Arabidopsis thaliana: one gene and its partner. The protein of the gene in region 2 binds, or shares a complex with, the protein of the main gene of each other region. Each region holds a gene or a part of one and is shown on either strand. Other genes may lie near its edges.

What was found. The genes of interacting proteins can lie anywhere in the genome.
Region 1: THO5 (region 2) and TEX1 share a complex: the UniProt entries of both Arabidopsis thaliana proteins name them as parts of the THO complex.

The regions. Positions count from the first base shown.
Region 1 is NC_003076.8:22,721,962-22,726,808, forward strand, and holds TEX1 (Transducin/WD40 repeat-like superfamily protein), read right to left. Parts: upstream 3,139-4,847; 5' UTR 3,105-3,138; coding exon 3,039-3,104; intron 2,943-3,038; coding exon 2,847-2,942; intron 2,673-2,846; coding exon 2,543-2,672; intron 2,231-2,542; coding exon 2,139-2,230; intron 2,029-2,138; coding exon 1,960-2,028; intron 1,775-1,959; coding exon 1,717-1,774; intron 1,601-1,716; coding exon 1,501-1,600; intron 1,409-1,500; coding exon 1,322-1,408; intron 1,238-1,321; coding exon 1,159-1,237; intron 1,064-1,158; coding exon 928-1,063; intron 829-927; coding exon 794-828; 3' UTR 521-793; downstream 1-520. Other genes in the region: AT5G56120 (RNA polymerase II elongation factor), read left to right, coding at 1-232; AT5G56140 (RNA-binding KH domain-containing protein), read left to right, coding at 3,501-3,691, 4,206-4,291, 4,649-4,794. UniProt on the Arabidopsis thaliana protein: Acts as a component of the THO subcomplex of the TREX complex which is thought to couple mRNA transcription, processing and nuclear export. Contributes to the integrity of the endogenous trans-acting small interfering RNA (ta-siRNA) pathway.
Region 2 is NC_003076.8:17,205,468-17,211,312, reverse strand, and holds THO5 (THO complex, subunit 5), read left to right. Parts: upstream 1-1,662; 5' UTR 1,663-1,790; coding exon 1,791-2,042; exon of another isoform or gene 2,043-2,107; coding exon 2,108-2,398; intron 2,399-2,477; coding exon 2,478-2,814; intron 2,815-2,890; coding exon 2,891-3,228; intron 3,229-3,336; coding exon 3,337-3,584; intron 3,585-3,837; coding exon 3,838-4,429; intron 4,430-4,514; coding exon 4,515-4,649; intron 4,650-4,736; coding exon 4,737-5,003; 3' UTR 5,004-5,342; downstream 5,343-5,845. Other genes in the region: AT5G42930 (alpha/beta-Hydrolases superfamily protein), read left to right, coding at 1-195, 324-575. UniProt on the Arabidopsis thaliana protein: Acts as a component of the THO subcomplex of the TREX complex which is thought to couple mRNA transcription, processing and nuclear export.

The sequences.
Region 1 (4,847 bases), 5.5 Mb from region 2:
GGAGAGGAATGATAATAGAACGCTTACACGGTGTGTTTTGGAGTTGAGGATGAAAGGGTCGAGCTTTGATTTGTCGAAAGAGCCGATGAGTGGGAAGAGGATGAAGAGTTCAAGCGTTGAGATCAAGTGGAAACCTGTTACTTGGTTCTCTCAGTATTTGATAACTATTGTTCTTCTTTGCTCTGCAGGGTTGTTCTTCCCGGTCTCAAAGTTCATCCTCTGCGGATTTTGACAAACTCTTCCTATTCACTGTTTGTTCGGTAAGCAAATCGTGTGCTCTTCTTGTTCTTTAATCCAAAATTGGACTCTCAGTAATAAATGTGTTTTCTTTCTCAGGACTCTGCATTCTTTCTTCAACCTTCATTGTGGGGATGATGCTTTTGGTCCGATCTTACCATTGGCCTCTGTTCTAGCTTTGAGAGAGTAGCTGTCAAATCTCCCAGACTGAAGATTCGCCGGAGGGAATAAGAACAACCTGTAACTTTTAGCAGTACTCACACATAGTAGAAAATTGATGTAATTCGGGATTAGAATTCTGATCTTGATCTTATTAATTTCATTCTTCGTTAATAATAAACAACATTGCTTGTATAGTAACAAATTTTTGCAATAAATAAAATGCCAGATTCAGAACTGCAAACTTTCAATGTATTTAGTGATACTGTAAGATTATTCCAACTTGATATACTGACAATACATATTTAGGTACACTAGGCACATAAACTTTTTCTAACTCAACAAGGAACAATCAAGTGGAGTTGTGTATCATGTTTCCCGATTCAGTGCTCTGTTCCTACGAGCTCTCAAAACCAAATATCCGGAAAACACCTGCAAAGAGATCCAAGTTGTTGTCATTGTTCATTTTCTGCTACCAATATTAGAGTTTTGAGTTGTTGCTAACAATGAAGTACTAATACGCGGTAGTACCTTCATCAGTATTATACTTGGGATTCTTGTCATCACCTGCATATGCAAGTAAATTGTATTTGGGATTCCACTCAACACTGTTCATGGCTGCCCGACATGGAATCTGATGCACCGTCCGCCCGGTTTGGACATTAGCCTGTTTGGTAGTTAGTGGTCAGATACGAGGAACTAATCTCATATTGAGGAAACTACATTGAAATTAGCAGTGTTTAAGTCTGGGCAATCACTTACAATATCAATGAATAAATCTTCACTGGCTGAAGCAATATACTCTCCCGAATAGTTGAAGCTTATTGTTCTGACTGGCCACCTGTGAGAAATAGTTATAAATTACTAACATGTAACAGAAATTAAACCTTTTTCTACTCTATGGAAAATTCATGTTGATACTCACTCAAGTTTGGTAAATGTTCTCAAACAAAGCATGTCTGAGATATCCCAAAGGCTTACTAAGGAATCCGCACTCCCGACAGCAAAATATCTGTTAAGGTAAAGAGGAAGAATTAGATGCAAAAGCAAAAAGATTATCATTCGTGTCTCAGAGGCCAGCCCACAAATGTAAATATATATTACCTCCCTTTAGGATCAATTGCAATACAATAACACCCGGCTGTGTGGGCTGTGAGAGTGTCAAGTGGTTTAAGAGATGGATATGAAAGAACTTCAACAGTGCCTGAGCAGGACAACATACAAAGTAACTTTCAGTAAGATCATTTTCTCAAGTTCAAAAACAAAGAAATCTTTGGTAGGGAATCGTGTGCAGGAAAGTACAGAATTTAAAATCCTCACCAAGTCCAGTAGTCAAGAAGAAAAAATCTCCAGGCATGTTCCAAGCAATCTCATTAACCTGTTACAAGAAGACAAAAGATAAGAGAACATTCCATACGGCACCAGAAAATTACTTGACGATTATTACATGAACAAGGAACTTAGGTGACATATAACCGCATGAGCTTGAAACAGGAGATACGGAAGAGCCTTATAAAAAAAAAGCCATTAATAAAGATTAACATGAGTCTGAGCTTACGTTACCTCATAATTGAATTTGCGCCTGTGTAGAGGTTTAAACTTACGGACATCCAGAATTGTAAGCTCATCATCCTACATTGGCCAGTAAGAGAAAGGACAACGACTATGAAAAGGGATCTATCAAGTAATCCATAGACAGTAAGAACAATGAAAGTGTAAAGATATGGGGCTCGAGACAATACCCTATTACCAACAGCTACATGTGTCCCGTCAGGTTTGTAGGTGATGTTTATATTCTCTCCACTAAGTTCTACCTGCTGTGTGCATTTTCCACCTGTAGAACTCGAAGAAGACATATCTCAGCAATTGATAGTAAAACATACAATAGTAGCCACATATCAAAAACCTGATCAAATTCCTCTCTTATGGAATCTGGCTAAATAACTAATTTATAATTCTAAGAAACTTAGATCCGATCCTCATCAATCAATAGTCTCCGCGATATGACTCAAAAGCAAAGGCCAAGATTGCGAGAAATATTTGTGAATGACACATAGCTAATCCATTAGAAAATATACAGATTTCTAAACCAAGCTCCAGGCATATTTCAGGAGCAAAACTAAACGATTAAAAGAATATAACTTACTGCGAGCATCCCAAAGACGAACGCTTTTATCACCAGAGGCAGTAGCAACAAGATCTGAATGTTTGGGATCCCAACATAGCTGATCCACACTATCAGTATGACCCTTTAGCTCAAGGTCCTTAGCCTTGCTCTGTATCCACACACCACACAAACAACCAAATTACAAAAACTACATAACTCAAAAAGTAACAATGACAAAGATAATAATCGAGTTTTAACTCAATCTACAATACTTCTCCATATGTATTCATCATCATCAAAAACACATAGAAGTTCCCATAGCTCAAAAAGGTAAAGAAATTACATGACCGTGTGGTTCGATATTCCAAATGCGAGCCGTTTGATCAACAGAACCCGAAGCAAGCTTTGTTCCATTCGAATTCCAAGCTACTGAATGTACCTTCAATCCAAAAATTCCCCCAGATTCAGCAAAAAACTAGGGTTTCGCAAGTTTTATTGAGTACAGAAAATTAGACTGGAGATAGAAAAAAAAAACCTTCTTCTTATGACCTTGATATTCTCTGCTATGTAAGCTCTTGAAAGGAATCGTCGTCTCCTCCATTTTTTAATTCTCAACTCTTCTTCTTCAACCTTCCTTCGCGGCCTACTGAATATCAGAGCTTCGCTTCCTGAAACGCAGCGTTTAGTCATTCCGGTATAGATAAACCGAATCGAATTTTAGTAAACCGGATGTAAAAAACCTTCTAGATGGTTAAGAGTCTTCAGAGAGAAACTAACAAGAAGAGCGGTAAAATTGGGTAAAATATGAAACAAAGAAAAAAGGTGAAAAAAAAAACAGCTAAGCAAACAACAAGTAATCATTTCACAGTCTCTATAAAATGACCTCTTAAATCCACCGACGTTATAGAGAGACAACAACAGCTTTGGTTCTGCCTCCGCCGCTTCTTCTTCTTCTTCTAATCTCCGACAGATTTACTCTGATTCTGTTGTCTTCGAGATGATGATGATGTCGTCGCTTGGTGGTGGTGGTGGTGGAGGAGGAGGAAGTGGTGGTGGTATTGGTGGTGGCGGCGGAGGGAGGTTTATGACGTATTCGTCGTCTCTTTCGGTGCCTCCTTCTGCTCCTCAGTCTCCTAATTACTCCGGTGGTCTCCGATCACAGTCTTCTGTCTTCGTTGAGCAAGAGAAGTAATCGAATCTTAGTTTTTCATCTTCTTTTATATTTTTGTTTTTTATTGTTTGGTGATCTTTTATAATTAGCTGATGTATCTGATGAAGTATGTTGATCTTTGCTTTGCTGATTTTGATTTTTAGATCTTAATAGTGTATCTCGAATCTGGATTTTTGTCTTTTTTGTTTTCTTTTGATTATATTAGGATCTATGTTTCGGAACTAGCTCAGTCTATTTCAGATTTGTCTCAATCCAGTTCATTTTTTGTAAAGCATAAGTCTTTAGTGTGTGAGGATCATTTCATTGGTTGTGTTCGTTTCTGTTATTGTTGATTTCTGTTCTTGGCTGATGAAACTGTTAAAAAAAATACGATTTTTGGAAGATTGACTAGATCCACTTCACAAAAGAATGGAAATTTGAATCTGGTTGTATCGATTTAGAGTGAATTTGAGTGTATCTGTTTGTAAGTTTGATGTGTCTTTGAGGCTTTTTTACTAATTTGGATACTCTGCACAATTTCTGTTTTGGCAGGTATCTTTCAGAGTTACTTGCAGAGCGTCATAAGCTTACTCCATTCCTGCCTGTGCTTCCACATGCATTTCGGCTACTAAACCAAGGTGAGCATTACTGTTTTTGTTGTTTATTATTTGTATTTTCATCTCACATAATACTTCATTCTTTGCTTCAGATTCATGAAGCTATAATACAGTTGATAAACTCTTAAACAGTACTGCTAAGAGAGACCTAATTGTTAGCTATTAGAAGTAGATCACGAAATGACTAATTCTATATTTCTTATACTGACTTCATTCTATTTAACCAGAGTGTATTTAACTAGAGTGAGAGCAAAAATATATTTTAAGCTAACTCAATTAACTATGCTGTCTCTCCATTCATTGGTGTCTTGGTGACTGATTTGTTGACTAATTCTAACTGGTGCGTCTTACTCTTGCAAATTGACATTTTTGGAACAGAAATTTTGCGTGTAACCACACTGTTGGAGAATGCTACAGTTTTAAGTCAGAGTGGGCTTGACCACCCTAGCCCTCTGGCTTCTGGAGGGATATTTCAGAATGCAAGAGCTGACATGAATGGATGGGCCTCCCAGTTTCCATCAGAAGTATGACTACTAACCATTAACATAACTCTCTAATTCATACTACTGCAATAGAA
Region 2 (5,845 bases):
ACATTTGGACAGCCACGCGTAGGCGACGAGGAGTTTGGAAATTTCATGAAAGATTCACTAAAGAAGTTTGACGTGAAGTATGAAAGATATGTTTATTGCAACGACATGGTTCCTAGGTTGCCTTTCGACGACAAAACACTCATGTTTAAACACTTTGGGGCATGCCTTTACTATGACAGTTTCTATAAAGGAAAGGTTGGTTGCATATATATGACAATCTTGTTTCTTTGCTTTAATCACTCATCCGTCTAATGTCGCTTACGCACTTACCCTACTGATGATATCTATCTACATTGTTGTTGTTTAATTTGTATTATGTTCAGGTAGAGGAAGAGGAACCAAACAAAAACTACTTTAATCTCGTATGGGTTTTACCAAAGATAATGAATGCACTGTGGGAGTTGATACGTAGTTTCGTCATGCCTTATTGGAAAGGTGGAGAGTTCAGAGAAGGATGGTTCTTAAGGTGTTTTAGGGTTGTTGCATTGTTGATTCCTGGATTACCTGCTCACTTCCCTAATGAGTACATCAATGTTACTCTTTTAGGTGACTTACCTGACTCGCATCTTGATTAAATTTTGACGAAGTCATAAATTCTTTTGAAAAGTTGATGTGTTTAGCTTTTCTAGGGTCTCGTTTCGGTGATGTAGGTGTTATTTTCTTATTTTGGCCTTAGATCATCCTTTCTTTCTCGCAATGATTCTACGTCTCACTTTATCTTTATCTGCATCAAGAAAAGAAATGCATAAATATTTCAATAAATACTTAGTGAAACGATTCTCTTACCTGCGAGTTATACACACAAGCAAACCAATATAACAATCAACAAATAAATCATGAAATAAATCAAACCAATGAACAATCATCCATTGACACAACCATCTCGGGGGATTGAATAATGGTACCAAAAATACTGCCTATACATACAACAAATAAATCACACAATCTCAATTGCTTAGATAATCTCATGGTCACATACCCACCTCGAAACAAGAATGATTTTGAAACCAAAAACAACAATCCCACAACGAGCAGTAACTTCCTACTCACCAACAATATCTCAACTCACCATACATCCAACTACAACAGCAAACCAACCTTTAACCTAAATTGGAAAAAATCTGAAAATAACCCAAACAATTGGTCTCAAATATTGAGTCACGAATCGCAATCTAACCGTCCAATTCAAATCTCCACCGTTGAAACTCAACCCTCAAGATGTCCTGAAGCTAACCTCAAAGTTTAGTGATGATCTGACCGCAGGTGCACTCGAGATAATTTGTTTAATACACTCTGGTCTAAATCACGTCTGAAACAGAGGACTTTACGAAAACACAGATAACTTTTAGAATATTAACTCAAATCCAAATCCGCAAAGTGGTAAATCTAGTTATAAGGCTTAGCTACAACTCAATAAAATTTCCGTACCATAGAAGGCTATTTGATTGATCAAACCTCTGTTCTACCACGACATATCTGATATGTCTCTCTCTTCCTTCACCAAAATTATCAAGTAGTTTCCTTTTTGGTGTTTTTTACATAATATTTTTGATATCAAACCAAATTTTTTCTTGTCTTTATACAGAATTTTCTGAAAAAAAATGTTACATAATCTCTTTTACGCAATTATCATCCCATCATGGAGTAGATATAATATTTGTAACAAAATATAGTTTACATAAAAATCATAAATAGTTTGACAAAAAAACAAAGAACAAAAAAAAAGAAGAAGAGAAAAATCATAAATCCTGTCAGAAGTACCGGAGCGAGCCTGACTGGAGAAATCGAGAATGGAGGACGGCGAAATAGAGGAAGGAATGGTAACTGCCGACGAATTCCCGACGCCGGAAGTAACTACCATAGAGACTATACAACCTCCCCGAGAGCCAGGAAAATCTCCACTCGAGCTACTTCGAGAGAGCAAAACCTCCGTAGAAGAAATCGTCGCGAAGATGCTCTCCATGAAAAAACAAGGAAACCACAAATCTGAGATTCGAGAACTCCTCACTCAAATGTTCCTCAACTTCGTCAATCTTCGTCAGGTACTTACCAATCTTCTCCCTCCACCTCTTTCGCTATACGATACTTATTAGGGTTTTTTTCGCAGGCGAATCGGGCGATTTTGACTGAGGAAGATAAAGTGAAAGCGGAGACGGAAAGAGCAAAGGCACCTGTTGATTTCACGACATTGCAATTGCATAATCTTATGTATGAGAAGAGCCATTACGTTAAAGCTATCAAGGCTTGTAGAGATTTCAAATCTAAGTATCCTGATATTGACCTTGTTCCTGAACAAGACTTCTTTCGTCATGCTCCTGAAGCTATCAAAGATCAATCGCTTTCAAGTGATAGTTCTCATGTTTTGATGCCTAAGAGACTCAATTTTGAGCTTCATCAGGTTGGTTAATCATCACCATCTCTGAAATTCATTCAACGTGATATAATGTTTCATTACCTTTTTATGTTTTTTGATTCAGAGGAAAGAATTGTGTAAGCATCGAGCGAGATTGGAGCAACAGAAGAAGAGTTTATTAGAAACCATTGCGGAGCGTAAGAAGTTTTTGTCGAGTCTTCCTCTACACCTTAAGTCTCTGAAGAAAGCATCGCTTCCAGTACAGAACCACTTGGGTATACAGCACACAAAGAAACTGAAGCAGCATAATTTAGCTGAGCTGCTTCCTCCTCCGCTTTATGTTCTATACTCACAGCTCTTGGCACAAAAGGAAGCTTTTGAGGAGAGTATTGAATTGGAGGTAGTTGGGAGTCTTAAGGATGCTCAAGCTTATGCTAGACAACAATCCAGAAAGGACTCAGGTAAGTTGTTTTGAAAATTTACTGTGTTTTCTAATACTAAAACGAAAAGAATGCTAATTTGGTATTGGTTTTTCAGGTATGTCGAGTAATACAGAGAGTTCTAGGTTGGAGGATGATGGACCTGATGACGATGATGATGGACAAAGGAGAAGAAAACGACCCAAGAAACTTACTAGCAAAGAAGGTTCTGACAAGGCAGGATTATATCAAGTCCACCCTCTCAAAATTGTCCTTCACATATATGATGATGAGATACCAGATACAAAATCCTTGAAACTTGTCATTCTCAAGTTTGAGTACTTGCTGAAGTTGAATGTTGTATGTGTTGGCGCTGAAGGCTCTCAGGATGGACCAGAAAAAAACATATTTTGTAACTTGTTTCCAGATGACGCTGGACTTGAGCCTCCTCATCAGGTAACTTTTTGTTTCTGTGTTTCAGTTTTCTTCTACATGTGACTTTTGATGGCTTTACTTTTAAAAATGCATACTCAATTCTCTTTATATGGCCGGTTTTCCATGCAGTCAACCAAGCTCATCCTTGGTGATGGTCAGACGTTTGATGAGAACAGAACTTCAAGGCCTTATAAATGGGTACAACATTTGGCGGGAATTGATATTTCACCGGTTTTATTAGGCCAAGAAGCTCATAACACTGACCCAGCTAAAAGTGATACGTTTGTGCCTGATCTTTCATTGTATCGCCAGCAGCATAGAGTGCAAACAGTTCTGCGAAGAATACGCTTGCGGAAAAAAGCGCATCTGGCTCTTGCGTGAGTTCACCACTCTGTATGTTTTCCGTCTTAATTAAAGAACACGATGCAAAGAATTCCAGAAAATTAGTAGACCACCATGATAATCAGCATATGGTTTGTACATTTAATAGTTTGGGTTTGTCAATAACTTGGCGGTCAATTTAATCCCTCTGTAGCATTGTCAACTTCGTGATAAGAGCTTCTATAGGTAATTATTTCTGTTGATATGTTTATTTTTGCTGAATACTTTGGAAACTTCTACTGGCTACAGGGAACAGCTTGATTTGCTTATGAAACATGAGTTACCAGTGGTGAACTGCGAAGATGCTCCTTGGGCACTGCATAAGGTTCTCTGTGCTTTGGATTCCTGGTTACATATACAATCTTCAGCTAGTAAGTCATGCTCTCTGACTCTGAACAGTGTGGAACAAGTTCCAGAACCTATGGAAATCGATGTAGATGGAAGATCTATTTCTGGAAAAGAAGATTTTGAAAGTATACGGGAAGATGGAGAACTTCCCTCTTTGGTCACGGCGGCTGCTTCGTTAACCAGTTCCAATCATACCCCATCGAAAGTATCTAATCAAGCACGGTCAAGGCAGTTGGCCTTGATGACAAAGAATCTAGATTCTCCGATTAGCAAAGGAAAGTCCCCAAGTTTCAAGAAATACGAAGATGATTTGGATCTTGTTCTGGACGATGATAGTGAAATAGATGAGCCAACCGGAAGAACTGAGGCGCATGTGGAAGAGTTATGCCCTGAGAAAGCTGATAATTCATGGGTGGATTATGGTTCGAGAGAGTTTGCGCTTGTGTTCTCCAGGAAAACAGATGGCGGAAAGTTGTGGAAGTTAGAAGCAATGGTAACTTCTAAAACACTATCTTCTAATACGGTATCTTCCCTATATCTTTTTCTTTCTTAAGTGTTAAATCGAGTTGTATTGGCAGGTACAAATTAGCATGGAGTATCCTCTTCGACCTCCTTTGTTTTCTCTGTCTCTCCACGCATCTTCTTCATCAGGAAATGAAAATGGGACAAATGAAAGTGACCATTACAATGAACTTCGAGCAATGGAAGCAGAAGTAAGTGTCAAACCCAGTAACATATACTAATCTTTACTCGATGACACCAAAGATAACGCCTTTGTAACCTTTTCGTGGCGGTATCAGGTGAACCTTCATATGTTGAAGATTATTCCTTCAGATCAAGAAAACTATCTCCTATCTCATCAAATCAGATGCTTAGCAATGTTGTTCGACTATTACGTGGATGACCCATCTCCAGATTCCAAAAGAGGAACAGCCACAACTGTGGTTGATGTCGGTTTGTGCAAGCCTGTTGACGGTAAGCTTCTTGTGAGATCATTCAGAGGCAGAGATCACCGGAAAATGATCTCATGGAAGGGCAGAGGATGTGCATCGGGTTATCCATGCTAGAGATTACATCGCCACTCACTTCTCTATATTATCTTTCTCTGGTGGTACAAGCAAAAGTTTTTGCATGTAACATTTTTTTATCGTATAAACCGTTATTGAAACAGCCTACTTGTTGGGTGAGGACCTGGTCTGTTTTAAACCTGGCAATGTTTCAAGTCCAATCCGTTTTAGCCTGCTCTGTTTTGGTCTCGATTTAAGCATTAAAGCCTAGCGGGTAGCTTGGAAACTAGAAAAGTGAAAAAGGGCTCGTCACAGGTTTTGGAGAAAAAAAAAGGAATCAACTCGTAGACAACCGTTATTACAGGTTGCTACTGCAATCATTGACAAATGTTGTTCCTGCAATTGGAGGTAGTGAAGAAAACAAAACCAAATCAAATTGGATATTAGTTTATAACTTTCAAGTGATTATATAGTTTGATTTACTTTAACTTTTAGTTTTTTTGTCATCTTATTTAAGTACAATTACCAAGGAAATATGCAAGTTTGAATTACAAGAGCGGGCGGAAAATAAATACATCCCAAAAACTTAATCCAAAAGAAGGAAGCGAATCCCTAAATTACAGGAAAACTGTCAAACGTAAATTTTTACATATCAAAAAGACAAAGCAAAATCAAAGGCATGAACGAAGACCTAAGAGGAACCACGATTTGCTAAATTCACTCCCATGTCCCAGGAAGAACAAAGCCAACCACAAAAGACAGTGAAATTTTTCGTGTTTTGTTGCAAATGAATCAACACTGAATTTTTTTGATTTATTATAGGAGTTATTTTTGTATATTGCAAATGAATCAATAGTGAAAAAATTTAGCAGCAATTATTGAGCCTATAATATAATTTTATA